Linked DNA regions of Caenorhabditis elegans. The protein of the gene in region 2 purifies or fractionates together with the protein of the main gene of each other region. This does not show direct contact. Each region holds a gene or a part of one and is shown on either strand. Other genes may lie near its edges.

Region 1 (3,757 bases), 7.1 Mb from region 2:
GCGTTTTCCAATTTCGGCATATTGCGGATTTGCCGGAAATTTTCAATTTTGACAATTTGCCGTTTTGCCGGAAATGTTCAGTTTTGCCGATTTGCCGGAAATTTTCAATTCAGCAAAACCACATTTTTCCATCCTCTCCTCCTACCTCTTCATCACTATCAAATCCGACTTTTTTCGTTGCCAACACGTATGGAATGTGTCTATCATTGAGCACGTGCTGCAACTCCTGACCAACATATCCCTTTCCTCCATAGATTGCCACGTGCATCTTCACATGTTTATGTTCCTTAAGTGCCGACGCAACAGTGTGACGCATTCCATCATCAAACGAGGTCGTTGGCTCCCAGCCGAGATCATTTTTCGCCTTCTCGATACTTATCAAATAGCGAAGATCATTGTACGGACGATCGGGAATCGATTTGTATTTTGGTGGCTCGTGGGCTCTTCCGAGTTGTAGATCAACTTCTTCTTGAATCGTTTTCGCTAGATCAGCAACATTTTTCTCGTAATAAGTCCCCAAATTGTAAATCTCGTGGAGTTCTCCTTTCTCACAAACTGCCTTCAATCCTGCACTAGCATCGTCCACAAAAAGCCAAGAGCGAAGTTGCTTGCCGCTTCCTTGAATTGTGTATTCCCCACGGACCTTTGCAATCTCAATAAATCTTGGAACCACCTTGACATCCCACTGGTTTGGCCCATAGATATTGTTCATCCGGGCAGTCACAATTGGAAGGTTGTACTGAGTTTGGTAGGCACGGACGTAGGCCTCTCCGGCGATTTTAGTGGCAGCATACGGATTTCCTGGAACAAGTCGAGAGAATTCCACTTTTCCTTGTTCATTCTCCGAGAGATCAGAGTCCCCGTAAACCTCGTCTGTACTGATGTGAACGAATCGTTTGATCTTTCCGTAGGTTCTAACAGTTTCCAAGAATTGGATGAACGATAGAACATTGTTCTGAACGGCTTCAGCGGTCTCATTGTAGCACCGAGTAGAAGTACAGTCAGCGGCGAAATGGATTACGGTATCGATCTGAATTTTAGCATTTAAAGATGGTCATTGTGTCATATGAAATAGGATCGTTTAGATTGGTAACTACAAAAAATTTAGGAGCTGGGGAGCACCTTGAACTAGAAAAAAAATTTCTCCAACTGTGGATTTTTGCCAGCTTTCGATGATTTTTTGGCTGTTTAGAGGTAGGTAAACGTTCTGAATACTTTTTGGAAATTTCTTAAAAATTCCAAAAAGCTTTCAGAATGTTTGTCCACCTCTAAACTCTGAAAATCATCAAAAGCTGGCAAAAATCCACATCTGGAGACATTTTTCTAGTTCAAAGTGCTTGCTAAATTTTTTATAGTGACCTATCCAAAATGTGCTCTTTCAAATGAGCACAGGTCTCATTTAGAAGAAGCTCTCCAATCCATACCTCATTCTGCTCAAAAACGTTGAGAATCGCCGCCTCATTCTTGATATCAGTGAGTACCAACTTGTACCGTGGGGAATTTCTCACCGACTCTGCCACATTCTGAGTGTCACTGTTCAGAATGAGCTTGTCGATGTTCACAAAATTACACGTCGGCCAAGCATCGTGAATGTAGTTGACAAAGTTCGAACCGATGAAGCCACATCCGCCGGTGATAACCACGTTTTTCGGGGTATAGACCATCCTGGAATTCAGTTGAGAATTATCGAGTAATTTCGTCGCGCAAGAAATACGGTACCCGGTCTCGAAACGACAATTTTTTTTGTAAGCTACAGACGAGTGTGCGCCTTTAAAAAGTACTGTATTTTCTAAACTTTCGTTGCTGTGGTATTATTTTTAAATCGATTTTTCATAATTTTTGATATATATTTTCAAAGAAAAAAACAATGAAAAATCGATTTTGAAAAAATCCGCAACAACAAAAGTTGAAAACTACACTACTCTTTAAAGGCGCATATCCGTTTGTATTTAACAATTGTCGTGTCGAAACCAGGTACCGTAGTTTTAGCGCAAAATTTCGCAAATGAGTAATAAAATGCGGGATTTCGACAACAAAAATTGCAAAATTCTCCTTTTTCACTAGTATTAGTTTGAAAAAATTTCGTTTTGAAGGCTAAAATTTTGAAAAATAGCACAATAAAACGTTTGGCAAAGCTTTTGGGTAAAAATTTCGGAAAAAATATTTTTTTTTGACTTATTTCAATTAACTATCAAAAATGGTATTTCAATTTTATAAATTTTCAAGATTTTTTAGCCTACAAGACAAAAAATTCAAAGCAAAAAGCTGTTCAAATCCCAAAAATCCAACAAAAAGTGGAGGACTTGACCATACAGAAACATGTATACATCTAGGAGAAGATAGATAGATAAAGATTTTTCCACGGGAATCAGAGATTTCGAATATTGATATAGAAGAAACGGAGACTAGGTTAAGGTCATTTGAGAGGGCTATGGGAAATCGATTGAACGGCGTATCTGGTGGGGGAGAAACGTGGAAAATTGATGAAATTGGTCGATTGCACCATGTTGTTAGACTAAAAATTAGTGTCAAAATATAGAAAATTACTTGATTTTTCCATATTTTTACACTAATTTTTATTGGAAAACACATGGTGCAATCGAACAAAAAACACAAAAAAAGTGAACATTTCGGTCTCTCCAAGTGATGATCAGATGTACAGTCCATCAGTAAAGTGTGAATCATTCTCCTTCCGGTGCATCAACAAAAAATTGTGAAATTCTCACCCAAATTACAGGCCAATTACAGTGTGCCCAACCCATAAAACTCGGTTTTTGGCAATTGCCGGCCAGAAATTCTACAATATTTTTCATTAGAATTCAGTGATAGATTATAGAAAAAACATAGGATTCATTTGAAAATTGCCGTTTCTTCTAGTTAAAACAATAGGGAGAACGCTCAAAAATTGTCTGAAAGTTGAATTTGGAGCGTTCTCCCAATTTTTTTAAACTAGAAAATAACTCGATTTTCATATAAATCAAATGTCACTGAATTTTGATAGAAGTTTGTCCTTTCCCTTGTCAGTTTTTTTGTTGGAAATTTCCAACTAAAAGTGACACCTCACAGAGAGAGAGTACCCCGTCCTTCTAATTAGCACCACCAGCTGATCATGTATTTCTTCTGCTGAACTCTTCTCACAAAATGAAATTGGGAACCTAGAGACTCTTGAATTCTCGGGTTTCTGTTTGCTGCTGCTCTCTTTTCTCCCCCTGCTCTCTCTCCTGCCATTTAATGGTTCAGCAAAGCCATTTTTTGATGGAAAATGGCGCAGAGGCGAAAAGTAAACATATTATTTTTCCATCATTTTCCCCTACTTTTCGTTCGAATATTTTCCCACCGACTTCTTCTATCAACTCGTTTGATATGGAGTCTTGGAATTTTTCGAATTTTCGGTTTTTCCCTCTGATTTGTGCTCTCCGCACAGCTGTTGCTCATTATTATGACGAACATCAAGCTTTAAACTTTCCGTTGAGCAGCTGTTGAGGTGGTTAATTCGCATTCGCGGAAGCTCTCTCAAAAAAATAAAGTGAACTTGAGAGTTTAAGTCGAAAAGCTTCACTTTTTGAGTTTTCTTTCTCCGGGTTACTGTAGCTGTGGAAATCTGCAAATACAGAATCTTGTGGTTTTTTTTTTAATGATATTTTTATATGAAGACAATGTAGAAGACAATGAGCTTTAGCTCAAAATTGCGTGAAATTCGGTGTGACAGGTTACGGTATTCGCATTTTGCGTACTTTTGGGGCTACCGTAACCCTCG
Region 2 (3,757 bases):
TCTTGTTGCAAAATTGGGAATAACAAGAAAACGCATGACTTGTTTGTCTAGAATAGGATTACATGTAATATGCAGCGCGTTTTTAGACCCGTTTTACTCGATTCTTGCTAATTTTTTCCGGGAAAACATAATGAAGATTAACAAATAATTCTTTCAAAACATATAAGATTAGTAAAAAATGAATAAAAGCGAGATATCTAAAGAAAGAAAGAAGCAATTAAAATTGCGACAAGTTTGCCCGAAAATAACTAATTTTCAAGTTCCCTCCGTTGAAAATTTGCGCTAGAGCACACTTGCATTTTTCAATTTTTAACAAATTCTTTGTTGGTTTTTAGCATTTATATATTCGAATATATTCCAGTTTTCTCCACAAATGCAATGTGTCCGGAGTTTTGTGAAGAACGAAACGTTCAATCGAAATAAGGTAATTTGTCTATTTTCAACGAATTCATCGAATTAATGATGTTCTTCCAGATTTTACTAGTGGCATTCGTGGCAAGGATAATTCTCGTTTTCTACGCACACATTCACGATTATCTATTCAAGGTTTGATAATTTTACATCATCAAAATAAGTTTAAACTCAGTGTTTCAGGTGAATTTCACAGACATCGACTATCACGTGTTCTCCGACGCTGCCAAACATGTCTCAAACGGTGGAAGCCCATTCGACAGAGCCACTTACCGATATACGCCTGCGCTAGCATGGATTCTTTTGCCTGTTGTGCATTTCCCGGACTTTGGAAAGATTCTCTTCTGCATTTTCGACATCCTGGTGGCGATTCTGTATTTTAAAATAATGGAGAAAGATTTAAACGAAACAAAAAGCGAAACACGAGAAGAAATGAAAGATGATCAAACAATGAATGTCGTGATTTACTGGCTTGCGAATCCACTGACCGCTATCATCTCAGCCAGAGGAAATGCAGAATCTATTGTTGCTGCAGTCGTGCTTCTGAATATTGTGCTACTTCAAAAAGGATACTGGAAATCTGCAGCTCTAGTTCACGGCGCCCTTGCGATCCAATTGAAGATTTATCCATTGATTTATCTCCCATCAGTTTTTCTGAGTCTTTCAACAATTGGAGAACAAAGTTGTGTTGTGAACAAGTTTAAAAGTTTGGTTTCTAACTGGAAAGGCTTCGCATATATGCTGGTAAGTTATTTTTCTTAAAAACATGGAATTCTCAATGTTAAAAAGATTTAGGTAACTCTCACATCATTCGCAGCGGTGGTACTATTCTTCTTCCAAATCTACGGACAACTATTCCTCGATGAATATCTGATCTACCACGTCAAAAGAAGAGATCTCGCCCATAACTTCTCGCCGTACTTCTACCTATTGTACCTGTATGAAGCGAATCCGACAATGTCACAGATCATCGGCCTCGGAGCATTCATTCCACAAATTGTGCTGATCGTGTTCTTCGCCTTCAAGCATTACGATGATCTTCCCTTCTGCTGGTTTATCACCACCTTCGCATTTGTTACATATAACAAAGTGTGCACAAGTCAGTACTTTGTCTGGTACATTGTTCTTCTACCTTTACTCGCTCATAAAATTATGGTAAATTATTATTTTTAAAACTAGTTTTTTCCTAAATTCCACCTTTTTCCAGATGTCCCGACAACTAGCGTTATCTCTAATGGCCGCGTGGTTCGCAACACAAGGAATCTGGCTTCTCGCTGCGTATTTATTCGAATTCCAAGGATGGAATACATTCTTTTTGATGTTCCTGGCCTCCTGCCTGTTTTTGATTGCAAATTCATTTATTCTCAAACAAATTATCAATCATTATGTACCAATAGTCAAGCCAAAAACCGATTGATCTCATTCTGTAAAATGATATTTATGTTCACTTAAAGCTTTAGTCGCCTTTTTCATATGGGTAATTACTTGTATTTATTTTTAAAATTAATAAATTTTATTGCATTTTTTATTGCTCCATCATTTCTGGAACCTTATATTATCGGTTATTATCTCATCCGATAACTGATTTTCTTTTATTTATTAATTGTATTGATATCAGCTGATAATTAGTTATGAACTGCAATTTAAAAAAAAAAACTTCAGATGGTATTTTATTTGATTGGTTTGGGACTTGGAGACGTTGAAGACATCACTGTCAAAGGATTAAATATTGTCAAGTATTTATAAAATATAATTAATGCAAAATTAAATATTTTTATTCAGAAACTGTGCTCGCGTTCATCTAGAAGCCTACACAAGCATTTTATGCTATGGATTGGACAAAACAAATCTCGAAAAGTTCTACGGAAGAGAGATCATTGAAGCCGATCGGACAGTCGTCGAGCAGGAGTCTGATGCGATTTTAAATGGAGCCGATAAGGAAGACGTAGCTCTACTTGTCGTTGGAGACCCGTTCGGAGCAACTACACATGCGGATCTGGTGTTGCGTGCTAAGCAACAGAATATTCCGGTGATTTGAGGAAGCTAAATTTGATTCCAGTCACGGAACGTGCAAAACATAAACTAAAAAACTAGAAACTTCCTTTAAACTTTCATATAACTTGAATTTTTTGTGTGTTCAAAATATTAAGAGGTTTTTTTTAAAAATAAATTAAAACTTCCTTCGTTTCAGGTCAAAGTGATTCACAATGCTTCCATCATGAATGCAGTTGGCTGTTGTGGACTACAACTCTACAATTTCGGAGAAACAGTTTCAATTGTAATGTGGACTGACGAGTGGCAGCCGGAGAGCTATTACGATAAAATCGCGTTGAATCGTAAACGTGGAATGCACACTTTATGCCTGCTGGATATCAAAACCAAAGAGCAAACTGTCGAAAATATGATGCGTGGGCGGAAGATCTTCGAGCCAGCCAGGTATCAAAAGTGCTCCGAAGCGGCTCGACAACTGCTGACCATTTATGAGAGACGAAAAGCCAAGGGAGAAGAGTGTGCCTATGATGAGAACACGATGGTTGTCGGCTTGGCAAGAGTTGGATGGGACAATCAGAAGATCGTATACGCGAGTATGAAAGATATGAGTGAGATGGAGATGGGCGAACCTCTACATTCACTGATTATTCCTGGTGAAACCCATCCTTTGGAAGTCGACATGTTGGAAACTTTCAGGCCATAATTCCCCAAAATTGTTCCTTTTTTTGTTCTTATTCTTGTTCTGTTGTCTGTTGCTAATTACTTTTTCCACATTTTTTCAAACTTTTTTTGTTTAGTTTTTCGTTTTTTTTTTTTTTCATTTTGTTAGTCTCAAAAAAATTAATCTTCATTTCAAACTTTTTCCCACACACCGCGATTTTTTAATCCTCTTCCAATTTATCCGTATCCAGTTTCGCCTTCAAACTTTTGACCCTGGGAATGGAGGAAGAAAGCAAAAAAAAAAATGGCAGTACAACTAGAGGTCATCCGTCAACTGGGGATTACCGGAAGAAGTCGTTGCACATTTCTCACTTTTTAAATTTTCCTGCTATTAAAATTGCATTCCTATTTAGATAGTATTTTTAATAGGAATTTTCCAGAAGATCGACGACAATATTCTATTGAGTTAGCAAAGCAAAGCGGAAAAAACTAGTGAGCCACGAGAAGGCGGAGCTGTAATTGAGAACACCAAAACCTGACACGACGAAAAAGAGACTAGTAACATAAATAGTCAAAACAAGTTTTTTCTCCCTGTGCTCCGTGAGTACCTCAATCATGATTCGCGCAACGTCCTGCACAGCTCTTTTTTCCGGCCTGGAGAGGGTGGAGTTTCGAAGGTTGCTGCTCCAGGCCC

The links.
Region 1: the proteins of dph-5 (region 2) and rml-4 fractionate together in Caenorhabditis elegans (co-fractionation; one large-scale study listed by BioGRID). This does not show direct contact.

What each region holds. Positions count from the first base shown.
Region 1 is NC_003280.10:4,293,009-4,296,765, reverse strand, and holds the start of rml-4 (dTDP-D-glucose 4,6-dehydratase), read right to left. Parts: upstream 1,666-3,757; 5' UTR 1,665-1,665; coding exon 1,425-1,664; exon of another isoform or gene 1,170-1,424; intron 1,031-1,169; coding exon 146-1,030; intron 1-145.
Region 2 is NC_003280.10:11,348,119-11,351,875, forward strand, and holds dph-5 (diphthine methyl ester synthase), read left to right. Parts: upstream 1-2,073; coding exon 2,074-2,147; intron 2,148-2,193; coding exon 2,194-2,440; intron 2,441-2,602; coding exon 2,603-3,106; 3' UTR 3,107-3,255; downstream 3,256-3,757. Other genes in the region: pigm-1 (GPI alpha-1,4-mannosyltransferase I, catalytic subunit), read left to right, coding at 374-424, 475-546, 595-1,155, 1,207-1,566, 1,619-1,828.